Lytechinus pictus: one gene and its partner. The protein of the gene in region 1 purifies or fractionates together with the protein of each later gene. This does not show direct contact. Links are inferred from orthologs where the notes say so. Each region holds a gene or a part of one and is shown on either strand. Other genes may lie near its edges.

Evidence for each region. The genes of interacting proteins can lie anywhere in the genome.
Region 2: the proteins of lupus La protein homolog (region 1) and RNA-binding protein RO60-like purify together in Homo sapiens (affinity purification with mass spectrometry; 3 studies listed by BioGRID and IntAct, with this or other methods). This does not show direct contact. The link is inferred for Lytechinus pictus from reciprocal best matches to the Homo sapiens genes SSB and RO60.

What each region holds. Positions count from the first base shown.
Region 1 is NC_087245.1:18,646,060-18,649,817, reverse strand, and holds the start of lupus La protein homolog, read right to left. Parts: upstream 2,790-3,758; 5' UTR 2,737-2,789; coding exon 2,623-2,736; intron 2,371-2,622; coding exon 2,301-2,370; intron 1,735-2,300; coding exon 1,628-1,734; intron 464-1,627; coding exon 362-463; intron 1-361. UniProt on the Homo sapiens protein: Binds to the 3' poly(U) terminus of nascent RNA polymerase III transcripts, protecting them from exonuclease digestion and facilitating their folding and maturation.
Region 2 is NC_087259.1:23,601,631-23,605,388, reverse strand, and holds the start of RNA-binding protein RO60-like, read left to right. Parts: upstream 1-1,189; 5' UTR 1,190-1,251; coding exon 1,252-1,783; intron 1,784-3,758. UniProt on the Homo sapiens protein: RNA-binding protein that binds to misfolded non-coding RNAs, pre-5S rRNA, and several small cytoplasmic RNA molecules known as Y RNAs.

The DNA.
Region 1 (3,758 bases):
CATATCTGATTGATACACGTCTGACAAAACTCAAATACACACATTTGTAATCCTATTTTCATGAAATTTTCAGCATATTGCTCTGTGAATTTTACTCTATTTATTTAAATATAAATATTTTCAGCCCAGACCATCCCTTTAATGAGATCATACAGGCATCTCATAATAATCTTAGGTAGAACTGAAGGAAGGATCACAAGGTTTAGATACAGGATTACTGCAGATATGGGAAAAGATGCTGAAGATTGTGTGTTAATAATATTTTTATAGCACTTCAATCATGAAAAGATCTGATATCCTTTGGAGAATATAAAATAGAATAACTACACTGATAATCTTGTTAGAATGTGAATTGACATACGCAATAGACACTCCTTGCTCTCATAGACTGCCAGTATGCAGCGGTTTCTTCAGGTAGTGGCTTGTTCACTGCTCTTCTGATCTTCAATTTGTCTTCACTTATCTATGTGAAAAAAAGTCAAGACAATTTCACAAACCAAAGCAAACTAAATTTGTTATTTATTTCACTGGTCACCAGTATGGACTCTCTTTCAATAAATCAATGAATCTGATAACAAGTTTGCTTTCAACAAATCATCTTTCACCATACTGGATGTAAAACTAATGTGGATTGCAATCTAAAGATATGATATGGCTTCGCACACAGGTTCAAATCATCTAATTTGAAAAAACAAGTGGAGGGCCTCTAGCAGTCACACCTGTATTATGCATTCAATATAGCAACAGTGCTGACTTTGAAAACTATTATAGAATAATTATTCACAAAAGACACCATTCATATAATGATATAATACTATGTTCATTGACCCTAAATGACATTTGACCTTGGTCATGTGACCTAAGACTTGCCAGTGAAACTTGATTACCCCTATGTCTGTACGGGATGTTCAGTGATACATGTCCAAGTTTAATGAACTAGATCCATAAACTTTCAGTTATGATGGCAAATCAACAAATACCCCCAACTTGGCCAAAGTTCATTAACCCTAAATGACCTTTGACCTTGGTCATGTGACCTGAAATTCAGTAATACTTTATTACCCTTGTGTCCCAAGTTTCATTCACTAGGTTCATATACTTTCTAAGTTATGAAGACATTACAAAACCTTAGACCTTAGGTTAAGATTTTGATGTTGATTCCCCCAACATAGTTTATTAAGTTAATTTACCCTAAATGACATTTGACATTGGTCATGTGACCTGAAACTCAGGTAGGATGTATAGTATTACTTGATTAACCTTATGTCCAAGTTTCATGTACTAGGTCTATATAATTTTTAAGTTATGTCATTTCACAAACTTAACCTTTGGTTAAAATTTCATGTGCCTCTGCCGCTGTTGTCGGAAAAGCGACAACAAAAATTGATATACAGACAGATTAATACTGAAGATTTAATTTTTTTGTTTTTAGCACATAATTTCATATATTTCCTACCAAATGAGAATATGTAACTGTACAAATAGGTGCATAATATGTAAGCATGCTTTTACTTGAATTTTCAACTATATAAAATGTAATTTTGGCACAATGATAACATTATTAGGTTCCTGGAAAACTGTTTTTTTTTAATCTATATTTTTGAGTAATTTAGAATGTTGCACTCACCTCCATTAGACCTGTTGGAGAGTTTTCAAGAGCTTGGACAATGACATCGAAGTCTGATGTCAAGATTTTCAGTCTGTTAAACTTGATCATGGTTTCAAGTGGGACCCCTTTAGTTTTTAAGTCAAGGATTATATGCGTATGTATATCATTAGTAAGAAGGACATAAAAATGCCCAAGTTAACAGATGATATCCTAATTGTTGTTATCATTATGTTATATCATATATGCCTCATCACCACCACAGACATCACAATCATCATCATCATCATCATCATCGTCGTCATCATCATCATCATCATCATCACAATCATCATCCTGATCATTTGAGATCAGGGGCAGTTCCAGGATATAAAGAGAGGTTCTGGATGTCATTTAAAGAATGTAATTGCCATCAAGAAAAAAACAAGAAGCCCCCACTACATACATTGTAACTCTAAAAGTTAATAATTGCACTTCAAATAGATTCACTCCCTCTTCCTCCTCCTTCTTCTTCTTTTTCTCCTCCTCCCTCCTTCTCTTCTTCTTTACCACAATAAGTCAACCTTCCAACACCAGCATATTTTTTTTTACAAACTACTATTTAGTCACTACACTCATCAAAACTTAAATTACAAAGTATTTTAATAAAGCACATATACATCATCAGTCAGTGTTTTTTTTTGTAAAAGGATACATCCATTGTCTTCTCTGATCTTTAGCTGCAGGAATGTATCTCTTTTTAGGTTGGAGTCTCCAAAGTAGTACTGTATAAATGACAATAACAATAATAAAACAAAAATAAAAAGGGTAAGTATGAAGTACATGAATGTGGTAAACAATTTTGATGATGCCTAAAATGGCCTTGATGCCATTTTTGTGCCCTTTTAATTTTGCCCATTTGTGTTATGATATTATATAGAAATGTGTCTTGGTCTTAGCCTAGAAATATTGAAATTTAAGGTCTGGCTTTTGATAAACAAATTTAGGGACATTTGTTAATAAATTTATTTTCCTACCTCAATTTGTCTTGCAATCTTTTTCTCCAATGCAGTGGGCTGTGCATCACCTTCAGTTTTGACTTCGGTTTTGACTTCCATTTCGACTTCAGTTTTGACTTCTGTTTCTGCCATTATGACAATAGGTGACTACCAGCAAACACAACAATGTGGTATTTCCTAATGTATAGAGGGGAACAAAATGAAAAGATTAATTTATTCTAGAGAGTTATATGACATTCACTAACAGAAAAGGCAGTCCAATCAAAATAAAAGATAACACCAGCAAATTGTCAAAGAGTGTTGGTATCATCGGTAAACTTATGTAATTTCATATAACATTTTATTGATATTTTACAATTACCATTTTGACTTACCAGTACTTGTAGAATTACCCATTGGTAATAGTTATGTATTACAATAACGATTTGGTATGTGGTAAATGTAGACAAAAATGACTTTGCAGTTAAAAAAAAAAATCTAAAGGGATTAAACAGACAAAAGAACTAACCAGCATTTAGTATGGTCTACATTTGTGCAAAAAGACAACATGGGTAAGTATACATGCTCTAATGTATATCATGATAGAGTATAATCCCTCACATAAATCATACACATCATGATTTTTTTATATTATAGTAGAGGTAGGATTTACAGGGGTTAAACAAGGTAAATGTTTCAAATTCCTTTGGGCATCCGGTTATTTGATGCAGTGTCATCTCCTATCAGAGCATTTTGATACCATTTTTATTGAAATCTGCCCGAAAAAGAGGTGCCGACCCCCCTAAAAAGGATCTAGCTGGATGTGACCCCTAAATGGGTCCCATGTAGGCTTGTATGCGTGCATTTAAAATGCAACTTACGTGTTCTGTATCCGTTTGTGCAGATTTTAAAGTTGAATTAGTTTGTTTTCCTAGATACAAGTAATTTAGTTGTAAATAATTACTATTGATATAATAGTAATTATTTACAACTAAAATATAGATTTCATTTTAATAATTATTACTTGTTGAATAATAATTTTTCTACAAAATGCGCTACAAAACGGTGCCTCATACCATACATGTAGCTCTTCTGCTGTAGCTAAGTCATAATGAAGCGAGTCAAGGGTCAAGCCTATTGTATTACGCAGCGTGGGCAGATTTTCCAGTTGCCAC
Region 2 (3,758 bases), on another chromosome or scaffold:
TAGATTGTGGTATTAGTTTCACTCATCATCCATGACAATTTTCAAAATTATTTCTCATGCTACAATTAGTTAGGCCCTACATATTAATGGTTCCTCTTTTTTTCTCTGTTTTCCTTCTTTTTCTACTTCTCCTCTAAAATCCTTCACAGCTCCCTGTCTCTCTTTGTAATTAAGCGCATCAATATTCGCGTATTTGCACGATGCCAGCAACTGTATTGGGGATACGCCCTACCTGTCACGGGGCCTCCCTATTGGCTAGAAGGGCTCCCACTGGGAACTAACACTGATTTTGATTGGTTTGCTTCCGAAAAGATGGGCGTGAACTTTGAGAGATATGACATGGAAAATACAATGTTCAGAATACCGATTTGTGACAATCATAGCGGTGTCACATCTCGGAGACAAATGACAAGATTTATGACAAAAGTTATGACAGTGTTCCAGAATACCACCCCTGGATCTACATGTACACCTGGGGGCATTTCATTAGTCAGTGTTTTTAAGCAAGAAATATTCTTTCAGCCAATCAGATGCAAGGATTTCAGTAGCTTTTGACCATTTTTATCATGAAATGCCCCCTGTACTTCAGGCTTTGTTTGTGTAGAGCAGATCAAAGGAATGGAAGCTACTTTGACTTCAACATGTAGGTTTGGAACTTGTGATACAAATAAGTGCAAAAAAAGATTTGTGTGGTATTACTGTGAGATGCTTGCACAGGATGTTGCATTAATAGAGGTGATGATTCACACAGTAATATGCTGATGACATCTTATTGTTCCTTCAAAGTAAGTCTTTCTTAAGTTAACCCTATGGGCCCTATGTCAGAGGTACATGTAGTAACCAGGGCTATTAAAGGTCTATGGAAAATACATACTGAAATCAAATAATGTTAAGCAGGTTATGTTATTTTTCCATACATACTGAATTACTGATTATAGTCATATACCTGGCTGTGAAAAAAAAGTTATAGTTAAAAAGTTTTTCACCCATGGTTGGTCTGGTGATTAACATTTTTTGGTGATTAACATTTTTTTAGGAATAAAATTAGTATAATATTTCCAGTCCATCTGAAGATGAATAAATTCCCTTTGTATTTTCCAAATTTAAACAAACTGAAAGAAACATGTTTGCTGCAAAGAGTGCAGTTTAACTCTGTTTTCTCCCTGTCTTTCCCTACCTAATTCGCAGACCACAAGGATAAACGTTCCTCAGTTTGCTTTGAGTTTGCCTGACCTTTGAACTCAACCAAAGATGGCTTCTGAAGATCAGACGAACAACATAGGGGTCAACTCGGACCTGGTCACCCTCAGACGGTACCTCTCTATGGGACAAACAAACGGAACATACTACGTTGTAAACAAAGAACCTAAGGGAAATCCCCTTCCAGAGTGCACGCAGAAGATCCTAGAGGAAGGTCGAGGAGGAGATATTGTCAAAGAACTTCTAAAGTTTTCCAAGGCTGGACACGTAGTACATGAGGACTCCTACATGAAAGTATTGGTTTGCATTGCAAGGAGCAAGGACTCGACGGCAAAGAAGGCCTTGTATAACGAACTAGGTCAGCTCTGCCCGACTGCGTCTGGACTCTTTCGCTTTGTTGACGGGGTGGAGAAGGGTGGTGAGGGCACAGGCTGGGGACGCATGCAGAGGAAGGCAATATGTAATTGGTATTGTGGCAAAGATGGCCAGGAGTTGGCGCGGCTGGTTACAGGGTGCAAGCAGCGTTGTGGATGGTCACATCGGGATCTCATACGACTAGCTCACGTCAAACCTCCAGCAGAAGGTAAGTAAATACAATTTATATTTATTTTTCAACATGGTCAGTGGTCACTTGTTTAAAATTTTGTAAGACTCCCATAATATCCTTACTTTTGATCACTACTTTGTTCAACTTTATACATGTTTACAAATCTTGAGTCATCGAATACTCCAGTACATGTAGTTTCAATTTGTATTACATGTATGTGTACATGTATATTTACAGTGTATAGTATTACATGATACATGTACACTTAAATTCCAGATACAAAAATCAGAACTTGCCACATAGCAGTCAATAATCTCTGCCAGATTCCAAGCGTAAAGTCTCTTTGCCCTTATTTAGGGGCCCTGTAACAAGCTAAATAGTGATTGATATTAGAGCTAATTGCTATGATTGATTGTGAATAATCAATTTTAAAAATGTGTCCTATGATCAATCAATAAGCTTTGTTTGAATGACTAGGGACTAGGGTCCATGTGCCCAATGGGTGAGCACATCATTAGTATTTCAAAGAAGCTTTAGTATTATGCAGTGCTTAGGAAATTTTGTCATTGTTTCGCTTGTAAACATGTAATAATACTGCATGTACTGTTTCCAAAACTATTAATTATTTGCATATATTGTATTTTCCTATTACATTATATTAGAATTCATTTTTTAAAATAATTTATTTGATTGTCTTAAAGGTGTATCTCCTTGAATGAGATGAATGTGATCCTGTACACATTGACAGGCAGAAATGTAATTTCCTCATTGCTCACACCTTTATCCTCTCCCCTCAACTCAGCATGCCTCACATACCAGCATGTCTTACTGTAGGGTGTGTTTAGACTCATATTTAAGGGCTTAGAATAGGCATTTTAAAAAGGTTTGGCTCGAAATATCTAGGTCTTGTTGGAGTCTCTCTTTGCATGTGAAGTACTCTCATACAAAAATGCATTTCGAAACCTGTTTACTTCCTAGTCAAATATGTATGCAACATCATCAATAATGAAGTTTGATGTTAATTTTCTTTACAGTATATTATAACATTGTAAGTTTCATGTATAAACTAAAGGCCCATTTGTTCAGACTTATGATAAGGCCTAATTGGTAACTAACATGGAAACCTAGATTTTGCAGGGTTTTTTTTTACCGTACATGTACTCAAGGATGGAAAAGTGTTTTTTTTTTTCAATAATGGAAAAAGTAACTGTGATATCAACTTTTCAAACTGTGCGTTGGGAAATAAGCCCTCGTTCTAAAAGATCTTTTCTACCCAAAAATATGGGCATGGGTCATGATGTGAACTTCTTTTCAAATTATGTTTCCAAGGTGGTTGATATGAATTCATATGCTTGTTATGCCTGCAAAATTATGCATACATTGTGAATGCACCCTCAGTGATGAAGGCAGAGCATTTTCTTTTTGGAGTGTAACTATTTCACCCAGACTCTTCAAATAGAAAATAACCTGTGAAATAATTTCTTAGGTGAGATGTTTTTTTCTAAGGTTAGGGGGGGGGTGATAGGATACAAAGATAATTATGAATGCACACTTACTGATGAAGGCATAAAATATTAAATCTGGTGCGTCACTTTTTCAATTTGACTTCCTTTCAAAATTTTTCCTGTGTGCAATGATTTTTTTTAGACAGAACTTTTTTATTTGTCTAGTAGAGGTGTATGAAAGGGGAGGCGGAGGGATGATATGTAGGATGCAAACATAAAGCATTCATGATAAGAAGGCACCCTTAGTATAATGAAGGCAGATAATCTTACATCTCTGATGCTATTTCAAATCTTAAAATGTGTTCAATGATTTTTTTAATTGACAGGACTTTTTTTTATTTGTCTGGTAGGGGTGTATGGACCGGGGCGCAGGGAGGGGGGGGGGGATGCAAACATAAAGCATAATGTGAACGCACCCTTTTAAGTGATGAAGGCAGATAATCTTAAATCTGACTGTGGAGTGTTACGTTTTTACTCAGACTCTCTTCCAAATGACAAATACAATA